2 linked regions of the Neurospora crassa OR74A genome follow. The protein of the gene in region 2 interacts with the protein of the main gene of each other region in a pairwise test. Links are inferred from orthologs where the notes say so. Each region holds a gene or a part of one and is shown on either strand. Other genes may lie near its edges.

Region 1 (4,088 bases), on a different chromosome or scaffold from region 2:
TGGCGGAGAACGACGAACGTGCCCTCCAGAAGGTATCTCTCCAGAGCAACGATGGCCAAATCATCACCGTCGGTGAGTAGAATCACCCCGCCACCCGGCCTGTCTCCTTTTCTTTCCCTGCGACTGCAGCCGACTAACTGGCGTCAAACACAGATCGTGTTGTTGCCGAGCGATCCCTTCTCATCAAGAACCTGATTGAGGATTTGGGCGACGAGGCTGTTATGAACGAGGCTATTCCCCTACCAAACGTCAACGAGCCTGTCCTCCGAAAGGTTGTCGAGTGGTGCGAGCACCACCGCAAGGACCCGCCCCAGACTACCGAGGACGAGAACGACAGCCGTAAGAAGAGCACGGAGATCGACGAATGGGACCAGAAGTTCATGCAGGTTGACCAGGAGATGCTCTTCGAGATCATTCTCGTAGGTTTCTCCCTCGTTCTACCCGCCGATGCTACTTGATATGCAAACATCACTCGGGTTCTGCAGGGTCAGATCATGCTAACATATTCCTCATCCAGGCTGCCAACTACATGGACATCAAGCCCCTCCTTGATGTTGGATGCAAGACCGTTGCCAACATGATCAAGGGCAAGTCCCCTGAGGAGATTCGAAAGACGTTCAATATCACAAATGATTTCACTCCAGAGGAGGAGGAGCAGATTCGCCGCGAGAACGAATGGGCGGAAGACCGTTAGCCGATCAAGACCAGTTTCCACGTCAAGTCACTTTGCAACGCCGGGATCACCGTCTGCCAACGACAGAGGTTACCCCTGTGCTTCGTCTACCGGAACGCACACTTTAGCCGAGTTTGATGGATATGGGGAGAGCTGTTATGTTGGGAGATGGATATCAAACACATCTCGTGTTATCGACAGCATTTCGACGACGACGTGATACGGTTTGGGCATTCCTGGGAGGGCCACAAACGAAGCTCTTCCACTCAGTACGTTCGATCGTACCTTTGCGTTGGCAGGCGTTTAGAGGCGTTGTTCTCTAGCTTTTTTCTACGGCTCCTTGTTTTCTTAGGCTGAATCGAGGGTTTTCTTATGATGATACAGTTTGTGAATCAGGTCCTTACGTGTCTGAGAACGTCCTCACCGTAAAGGCCGACAACGTCGTCACGATTCTGTTCCGTGTTGTTGCCATGATGGCCCCCTTTACCACCAACATACTCTACATATTGGCACCTCGTATTCGCTTAATACGCCCATCATGTGAACTGTAGTCTAATGATAGCAACAACGACCCTCTGTTTCGTGGCAGCTATTCATGGTTCAAGGCGCGGAGTCACCAGGAAGAAATGGGCCTTAGAGTAGGGGAAAGAAAAGTCAGCCAACATCCACACTACCCTCCATTGTTCCATGCTAGAGCGCTCCCGGTAAAACAGGTAGGTACAGAAACCGCCCTTTTCACTGACAATTTGGCGTTTTGAACTCAACCATGGCCAGGCGCAAGGATGGCATGGAGTTGCCCATGCACACAAACAACATACTAATGGTCCAGATTGCAGAGAGACTAGGAGGGAGCTTACCCAAGTTGTATATCATGGCTCATTTTTACTCGCTTTATACAAGCCAAGGGTACAGAAGTCGTTGATGGAACGTAGGCGGGCTGATTTGGACATTGCCCACGTCTTTTGATCAAGCCCCCTCGGTGTCACAGACCTTGATATAATGCGCACACGACATGGTACATAGACCGATTTTGTAGCACAGTTCCGAGAACATGGGTAGAACAAATATGGGAATCAACTCTCGTGCACCACGTTTTCTCTCATTTCAGATCCTAATTCCCCCAGTAACCGTCCTTCTAAATGTTTGCCGTGAAAGCATAGTACTCCGAAAGTTTACGTTCCCCCAAAACAAGGATCGAGTTCCAGGATATTTCCCCCCGCCGAAAGAACACAGCTGAGAACCGACCGCCGCCGAGCCAGAACTTGGTTGTGATCACATCATCTTCCGGTATTTGCTTCCTGGTTGCCCTTGCCCGCTTCTCCTTCGTGCTTGCTGGTGATCGGTGACTTCGCCCTAGCAAAACAACTCCGTAGCGGGAGGTCGGGAAGATTTCGTTATCGGTTTAATTTCGTAGGACAAAGGCCGAGAGAAGAAGGTTGCCGTCATAGGTCGCATTCCCAAGCTCCAGTTTTCGAAAAATGGAGGTGGATCAGAGCAACCAGGAAAAGAAGACCATCGTTGGGGGTGGAATATGGAAGAATCGTGAGAGCATTTAGAGGCCGAGACGGGTCTTGCGCCAGTGGCGACGCTTGGCGTTGTAGCTAGTTGTCTCTTGTTAGCATCCAGCGTCATGATGAAGCAGTCGCCATGCGTTCTTGAGTGCAGAAAGCTCGCGAGAGGGCATGTTGCGCCGGGTACAGCCGAGGCAGCTGGTTTGTTTTCCAGCTTCCCTCACCACCATCCCCGTCACTATCCATCCCTCTCCCTCTCCTCTGGCTGAACGCGACAGCAATGGGCGCTTATGGTGATATGTACCGGATGGTGTTGCCAGTGCGGAGGCGAATCCACTGGGGGATAGGCCTGTTCTGCTTCTGGGCCTTAGCAAGCTTCTGCTTGACACGGAAGGTCTTGTGGCTCTGTTTTCGCGATGCACCTCGTCAGCATAACTTGTCTTGCCGTCGTTCGAGCAGGTGAAGTCATGGACCCCTCCTCCATGCTTCAATCAATCGCTCTGCGATCATCATTTTGGGAATTCCGTGTCGCTGCCGTTTCTGGCATAGCAGGACGGCCAAAAATTCGACAGCAGAGCGATTCCGAGCATTCTCTATGCTCAACATGGTGGGACGTTACGTACCGGCATTTTGACGGTGTTGTCGAGTTACCGGTCGATTTGGCTGGTGTCGATGAGGTGGGTTAGAATATTTGGTGTGGGCTTTCAAAAACCAAGCAGAACACTAGGGCCCGAAAGTGCGCATGTGGCTGAGTCACGTGTGTGTCTGTGGCTCGTACTTGTGGCACAGGCTCATTCACTCTTGGAGTCCGCTCTCTGACCGGACAGAAGGTCCATTTGGGTCCAGAAGGGAGGCGCACGAGCCACGAGAAGCGGCTATCGGAGGTTTCCACGGTGCCGTCTCGCTGCCAATCGATTGCCGGGATGTTTGCAGTTGGGCTGGGCGCTTGGGGCGGCCTTGCCTCCCGGGACCCCTGAGTGCCGGCACGATCAAAGGAGCTCTTTGGCGGCATTGAGCGACGGCCTCTCTATGACAACGAGAGGAGCATCTTGAAGCAACCTAACCCAAAACACTTTTTTTTTTCGCAATACCACGGCGCAACAAACCCTCGCTTATCCTGTCTTCAACCGTGCGCACGGGAGCATCCGAAAGATACCAGCTGGGCTGACCGCGCTTCCGTTCGCTGCCTCCTCGATAATACACTACTCGCCGTCATCATTTCCATCGACTAGTACGGCCCGATCCGACACGTTAGAGCCCGATCTGTATCAAGGAATCGCCTTGCCTGGTCAAATCCTCTCCTCATCCGTCTAATTATCAACTGCCTCAATCATCACACTCCTACGAACTCAACGCGCTCTCAGTCTTCCGGGGCACTAGCCAACACGCAAAGATGGGTCAGAGCATGTCATGGCTGTCTAGCCTGTCCAACCTCTTTTGGACAAAGAAGGAGATCCGCATTCTGATATTGGGCCTCGATAATGCCGGAAAGACAACACTACTATACAGGCTCAAGGTAGGCCCACCTGTTGAAAAGCTGACGAACGGAAGCGCGCACAGTTCGGAGAGCTGACAACATGTTGTAGATTGGCGAGGTAGTAACCACGATACCAACAATCGGTTTCAACGTCGAATCAGTCACATACAAGAATCTCAACTTCAATGTGTGGGATCTGGGTGGTCAGACTAGCATCCGCCCGTACTGGAGGTGCTACTATGCGAACACGGCGGCGGTAATATTCGTTGTTGACTCGACCGATATGGAGCGATTGCAAACCGCGGCGGATGAGTTGGCCGCTATGTTGAATGAGGAAGAGCTGAAGGACGCTGCCCTTTTGGTGTTTGCCAACAAGCAAGATCAGCCAGGTGCAAAGGGGGCGGCAGATATCTCTCAGGCTCTCCGC
Region 2 (5,606 bases):
CAGATCTCCTTGACTGAGTTGAGGACCGTCTGTTGAGCATGTAATCGTCGTCTGCAGCTTGGCGCTCCAAGTCTGATGAACCCATCTCTGATGCGCCAACGTCGCCTTCATAGTCATCTTCAAACGGTAGTTCGTCAAGGTCTTCGACCGATGCGACCTCGCCTGTCTCGAAATGTTCGTCGATGTCTTCTTGGTAGAAGGAGAAGCTAGTGGTGGAATCGGCGCGAGCTCGGCGGTGGTTGAATGCGGACACGCTGGTTGGGAGCGACTCTGCCATGGGACCAGAGTAGAGCTGTTGCCGCAAATGTCAGATACAACACACACTGATCCACGAACACGGGAGAAGAATGCGTACCTCGTCGTGTGCCATCTCGACATCCTCAAAGATGCTCGCATTGCTCTGGTTCGAGCCCAAGGTGTAGAGGCCTGGACGGTGATCGTGACTGGCGCGCCGGCGGTCAAAAGACTGCGATGACCGCCAGCTAGCGTGGTGGGCATCATTGCCGCCGTTCATGTTGGCGCTGTCCGTCGGTGTTGTTCCGAAGTTAACCCTATGTATGAGCTCAAACGATTTTTAATAAGTAACTTGTACGCATCGATATGGATATGCAATTGGGGAATGTCCAAGTAAGAATTTGAGATTCTTGCCGCGACCCAGTCAGTCGTCCGAACTTGTAAGCGCAGATCTGTTTGGGAAGGTGATACCGATAAGAACATGACGTCGCTTTGTTTCGCTTGATACGAAGCCTCGCAAATTGCATAGTACCATACGTATCGATTGATACACAAGGTCGCTGGAACGGACTTGATCGAGCCGTTTCAGACTTTCAGACATTTTTACGCCAAACCGGCACTCTTTACACCTCCCTCACGATCAACCAACAATGTTGGCTTGCCGAAGACAAACCCTTTCCATGGATCATCGAGGAAAGAAACAACCAAATACCAATAACATGTGAAATCCTAAGGGACAGTTTCCCATATAGGTATCCTTTGCTTGACTACATGGTTACACAAAACAAGACATCAAGGTTCATACTAAATATGGAAGCGAAGGACAACTGTATGCAGTAGGGCTTCTTGCGATCGCATGGATAACTTCCACGATACTTCCCTTACCATCTTGTACATTCAAGTGAGTGGATCAGGCTTTCCGCACGATGACTGGAGATGGGAATGATGGACTCCAGCTAGAATCCTCTTGTCTGACTTCTTCACATTTGTTGACCTGGACGCCGGAGTCACGGAGAAGGATCGGGGCCAGACCGTCCCAACGGGCAGTCAGCAAGTGGGGCAGTCACAGGCATGGGATTTTTCTTTCAACACTGCCCGCCAATCGAATGCCAAGCATGTCCGCTAACGCTTGCCTACTTACATACCTCTAGCCAGAAAGGTCGATGGCGGAGATGGGGGTCGCTATCCACGATTTTTACGATAAGCACAGTGCAACAAGGGTCATTCTGGCCCAAACCTTGTCGGCTTCAGTTGGCGATGGAGATTCGTGGGCATCGCGATGATCACTTGGCAGATGCCGCGAGCGGTCTCACTACACCACAACGTGAGAGAACGTGCTCCATACGTGCCCGTACGTCGTGTACTGGGGTCACTGCAGCATCTCACCTGGACTTAGGTTGGACGCCCACGACGGTCTACGGCCATGATGGTTCAGATCGGTCCGATGATGGTCGCTGAACCCAGCGTCGACTCATAATCGAAGTCATAAGCAGAAAAGTGTGCGTCAAGTTGCCTCTGCTGATGAGGTTTTGACTTGCTGAGGACAGAGTGAATCAGCAGAATTTTCAAGTTTGCCTTCCAAAACCTGCCCGGCTCTGGAGGCCTAATTGAGTTGAGAGACCCTAAACGTTAGAAGCAAATCACCGCAGCCCGACGCCGGTGAGAAGGCGAGATGTAAACACCCGTCCAATATTAGCAGCTCGCAGTTCAGACGAAAAGCAACTTCTAAACTATCTTGCACCTATGAGGTACCTTGTAACTTGTGTATATGAAGCCGGCATGTCACCAATATCATTTACCCTACATCATGTCTCTGGCCGGGATCCCTGGAGAGAACGCTAGCACGCAAGACACGCCAGCCAAATGCTGAAGCATGTGGTGCCAGGAAGCGACGCGCGACGGGCAACCTGGAAATACACTACCTGAATGCGATGTACATGAACGGGCTTTGTACGATAAGAACAACAATGGCATGTTTAGGTTCATCTGGCTAGGCGTAGGTACCTGAGGGGATTTTCAGTTCAGACGAGCAGACCGGGCATGCAATGGCCGAGTGTAGAGTCAAACAAGTGACAGGAGGAGCTTGACCCTAAAAAGACGTGACCCATGACAATGGGCACCTTGCCTATGCTGGAATAGAATTGAAGGTCAAATACCTCTAGGTGGTGGTGTAGGGCAAGCGACAAGACTCATGGGCAGCAAATGGAAGTAGCGGACTGGGGCTGGGTGGTCGCCGGCGCAGTGCAGGCATCATGGAGTGGTCCAACGGGGCGCCTCCCGCTGCAGTGCCCTCGACCCGACTGTCCTGCCCGCACTGGCCAGTGCCCCGCAAATTTTCATAGCAACCCCATTGATAGCTTTTCTCCCCTCCCGGTCCCCTCCAGACCCGACCCTCGCTCAACATTTCTTGCACTGCTGCACAACAAGCCTTCTCTGCCTGGACCGACCGGCAACCACAGAACTTTTTGCCTTTCCCACCAGCACCGGGGCCCCTTCATCAATCTCTACACCCGACCGCTTCTTCAATCCAAATTTGCCCTTCCTTCTCCCATTTCTCCCTCCGACATCCACTGTACGTCGGTCGCAGGGTTCTACCACCGCTTCCTTCTCTGTATCCCAACTCATTTCCTTCTCTTGACCAGAACCAGACACAATGGCCGAGCCCATCAGAAACAAGCGGGCTGATCCCCCCATCGCTCCGTGAGTTTTCATCCCCAGACTTGATGGGATGCCCATCCCGAGTATCGCGTACCGTTACTGACCAGCCTTCGCTTCAGCACCCCCCAGAACACTCCTCTTAACACTGCCCCCATCTCGTCGCACGCTCAGCAGCCCGGTGTTGCCAGCATCAAGGAGGGTGAGTGAAGATTCTTGCTGCTGCTGAGACTATTTGGTAGTTTTCTGGGCTTGTCGCTAAACTTACTGTTCGTTGCAGAGGATCTTGACCGTGCCGCCGCCGCTTCCATCTTCGCCAAGGACCCTAGACTTGTGTCCCTTATCCAGGGTCGTCTCGGCTCTCTTGTCGGTCGTTCGTCCGGCTACATTGAGTCTCTCCCTACCGATGTCAAGCGTCGTGTCGCTGGCCTGAAGGGCATTCAGAAGGAGCACTCCAAGCTCGAGGCCGAGTTCCAGGAGGAGGTCCTCCAGCTCGAGAAGAAGTACTTTGCCAAGTTCACTCCTCTTTACCAACAGCGTGCCGCCATTGTCAACGGCCAGACTGAGCCCACTGAGGACCAGGTCCAGGCCGGTGAGGAGGATGAGGAGGAGGAGGATGAGGAGACCGAGGCCGCCCCCCAGGAGGAGAAGGCTACCGAGTCTGCCGAGAAGGTCTCTGGTATCCCCGAGTTCTGGCTCTCTGCCATGAAGAACCAGATCTCCCTCGCCGAGATGATCACCGACCGCGACGAGGAGGCCCTCAAGTCCCTTACCGACATCCGCATGGAGTACCTTGACAAGCCCGGATTCCGCCTCATCTTCGAGTTCGCTGAGAACGAGTACTTCACCAACAAGACTATCACCAAGACCTACTACTACCAGAACGAGAGCGGCTATGGTGGCGACTTTATCTACGATCACGCCGAGGGTGACAAGATCAACTGGAAGGAGGACAAGGATCTTACTGTCCGCGTTGAGCAGAAGAAGCAACGCAACAAGAGTGAGTTGCAGTTCCAGCTTGAATTTTCTCAAACTTGCTCACTAACAAATTGCACAGCCACCAAGCAGACCCGCATCGTCAAGAAGACCGTTCCTACCGAGTCTTTCTTCAACTTCTTCTCCCCCCCTAAGGCCCCCACTGATGACGACGAGTCTACCACCTCCGATATTGAGGAGCGTCTTGAGCTCGACTACCAGCTCGGTGAGGATATCAAGGAGAAGCTTATTCCCCGCGCCATCGACTGGTTCACTGGCGAGGCCCTCGCCTTTGAGGAGCTCGATGAGGAGGACTTCGAGGACGCCGAGTTCGATGATGAGGATGATGAGGATGATGAAGATGCCAGCGAGGACCAGGATGACGAGGATGAGAGCGATGAAGACGATGTAAGACTTTCTGAATTTTCCCCAACACATGCTATGCTCTGCAGGTATGCTGACAAATTTCACAGGAGGACGGCAGCAAGCCCAAGCAGGAGGCTGCTGAGTGCAAGCAGAGCTAAACGCTGATCGCTGAATGAACACGAAAATGATACCACTATACCACGCAGGCAAGGGGCAGAACGCCCAATGACATTTGGCGTCTGAGTTCCAAATTATTGAGGGTCATGCATGACCGCACCGGGGTGGCCGTGGGCTCAGGAAGAACAGGAGTGTGCGGATGGCCGGAGCTTGTGGTGGATCGATAACCATTCTACAGAATTTGAATTGGTCACATGAGGAGTTGGCTTCAGCACCTGCCTTGACGCTGTGGTTGTCTCTCATAAGTCTTAGCAGGATAGTTCGTCCTGACCCCTGAAGCAGTGGCACGTCAGAGCGCAAGGATGGGAGCAGATATGCGAACTAAACCGGAACAAGGGTCGATTTGTGCGTAAAGGGATGATATTATACGGGACAAAAGCAGTGATTCTAGGAGGATTTAGGTGTTGATTTCATAGTACAGCATTGCAGGTGTTTCTACATCACAAACCGTCATCCAACAGCGTGACTCGATGTAGACTGTCTGACTGTCAAGTTCATTAGGCCACGACACCAGGGGCGGATGACTTCTCCAAGGAGTTCTCAGATGGATGTAAATCGTCATGACCCTTGTTAGCCTCGCGTGATGTAGATAGAGTAAACCTCAACGGACGAAAGAGTCGCCGAGCTGAGGCAGTGCGTGCCTGGAAGGCCTGAAGGATGGGAGCTGGGCTTCTGGAAATTTAGTTGGCGATGTCTCTACTGACACGCAAGCTTGGCGGCTCCCGGTCGAGTTTGAAGGTAGGTAGTAAGTACCTCGAGACTTGGAAGTAAACTAAATAATGGAACCCGGGAAGTTGTTACACTATTCAGTGCTCGGGACACGAGGAGAAATAAGAGACCATCTGCGCTGAATCGAGTGAAAGCTGTCTACATGAAAACATACTGGCTCGGACAAAGTCAAGGGGACAACAAAGCCATGTCAGGTCGCTGTGGCAGTTTCCTATACATTGTGCGGACAGTCAGCTCGATTCTTGCGAGTCCTTCTTCTCCTGAGGTGGAAAAAAAAGAGGAGCCCGGGCAAGAAGACGGGAAGTACGGATAGCATGGGAAGAACACACGCCACATCTCATATTTCCATTTTTACTCTACGTTAAGCAATACAGCCCGATTCTATGTTATTCAAAGGGCTGTCAAATTGAGCAAGCGACCAACATACACTGCCAACTGAGTGCTTGCCTTCACAGCGGATCTCTTATTCA

The links. The genes of interacting proteins can lie anywhere in the genome.
Region 1: the proteins of naf-1 (region 2) and NCU08990 interact in a two-hybrid assay, tested with the Saccharomyces cerevisiae proteins (2 studies listed by BioGRID). The link is inferred for Neurospora crassa OR74A from reciprocal best matches to the Saccharomyces cerevisiae genes NAP1 and RPL39.

Annotation. Positions count from the first base shown.
Region 1 is NC_026503.1:4,146,399-4,150,486, reverse strand, and holds NCU08990 (60S ribosomal protein L39), read right to left. Parts: upstream 2,942-4,088; 5' UTR 2,814-2,941; coding exon 2,808-2,813; intron 2,590-2,807; coding exon 2,489-2,589; intron 2,275-2,488; coding exon 2,226-2,274; 3' UTR 1,504-2,225; downstream 1-1,503. Other genes in the region: scon-3 (sulfur control-3 protein), read left to right, coding at 1-72, 154-419, 518-694; NCU08989 (ADP-ribosylation factor 1), read left to right, coding at 3,578-3,700, 3,771-4,088.
Region 2 is NC_026505.1:4,745,657-4,751,262, reverse strand, and holds naf-1 (nucleosome assembly protein), read left to right. Parts: upstream 1-2,613; 5' UTR 2,614-2,887; coding exon 2,888-2,934; intron 2,935-3,011; coding exon 3,012-3,091; intron 3,092-3,169; coding exon 3,170-3,889; intron 3,890-3,946; coding exon 3,947-4,272; intron 4,273-4,337; coding exon 4,338-4,388; 3' UTR 4,389-5,092; downstream 5,093-5,606. Other genes in the region: NCU10143 (ATPase type 13A2), read right to left, coding at 1-292, 356-514. UniProt on the Saccharomyces cerevisiae protein: Acidic protein, which assembles histones into an octamer (in vitro). Involved in the regulation of the localization and the function of the septins during mitosis. Involved in the function of B-type cyclins.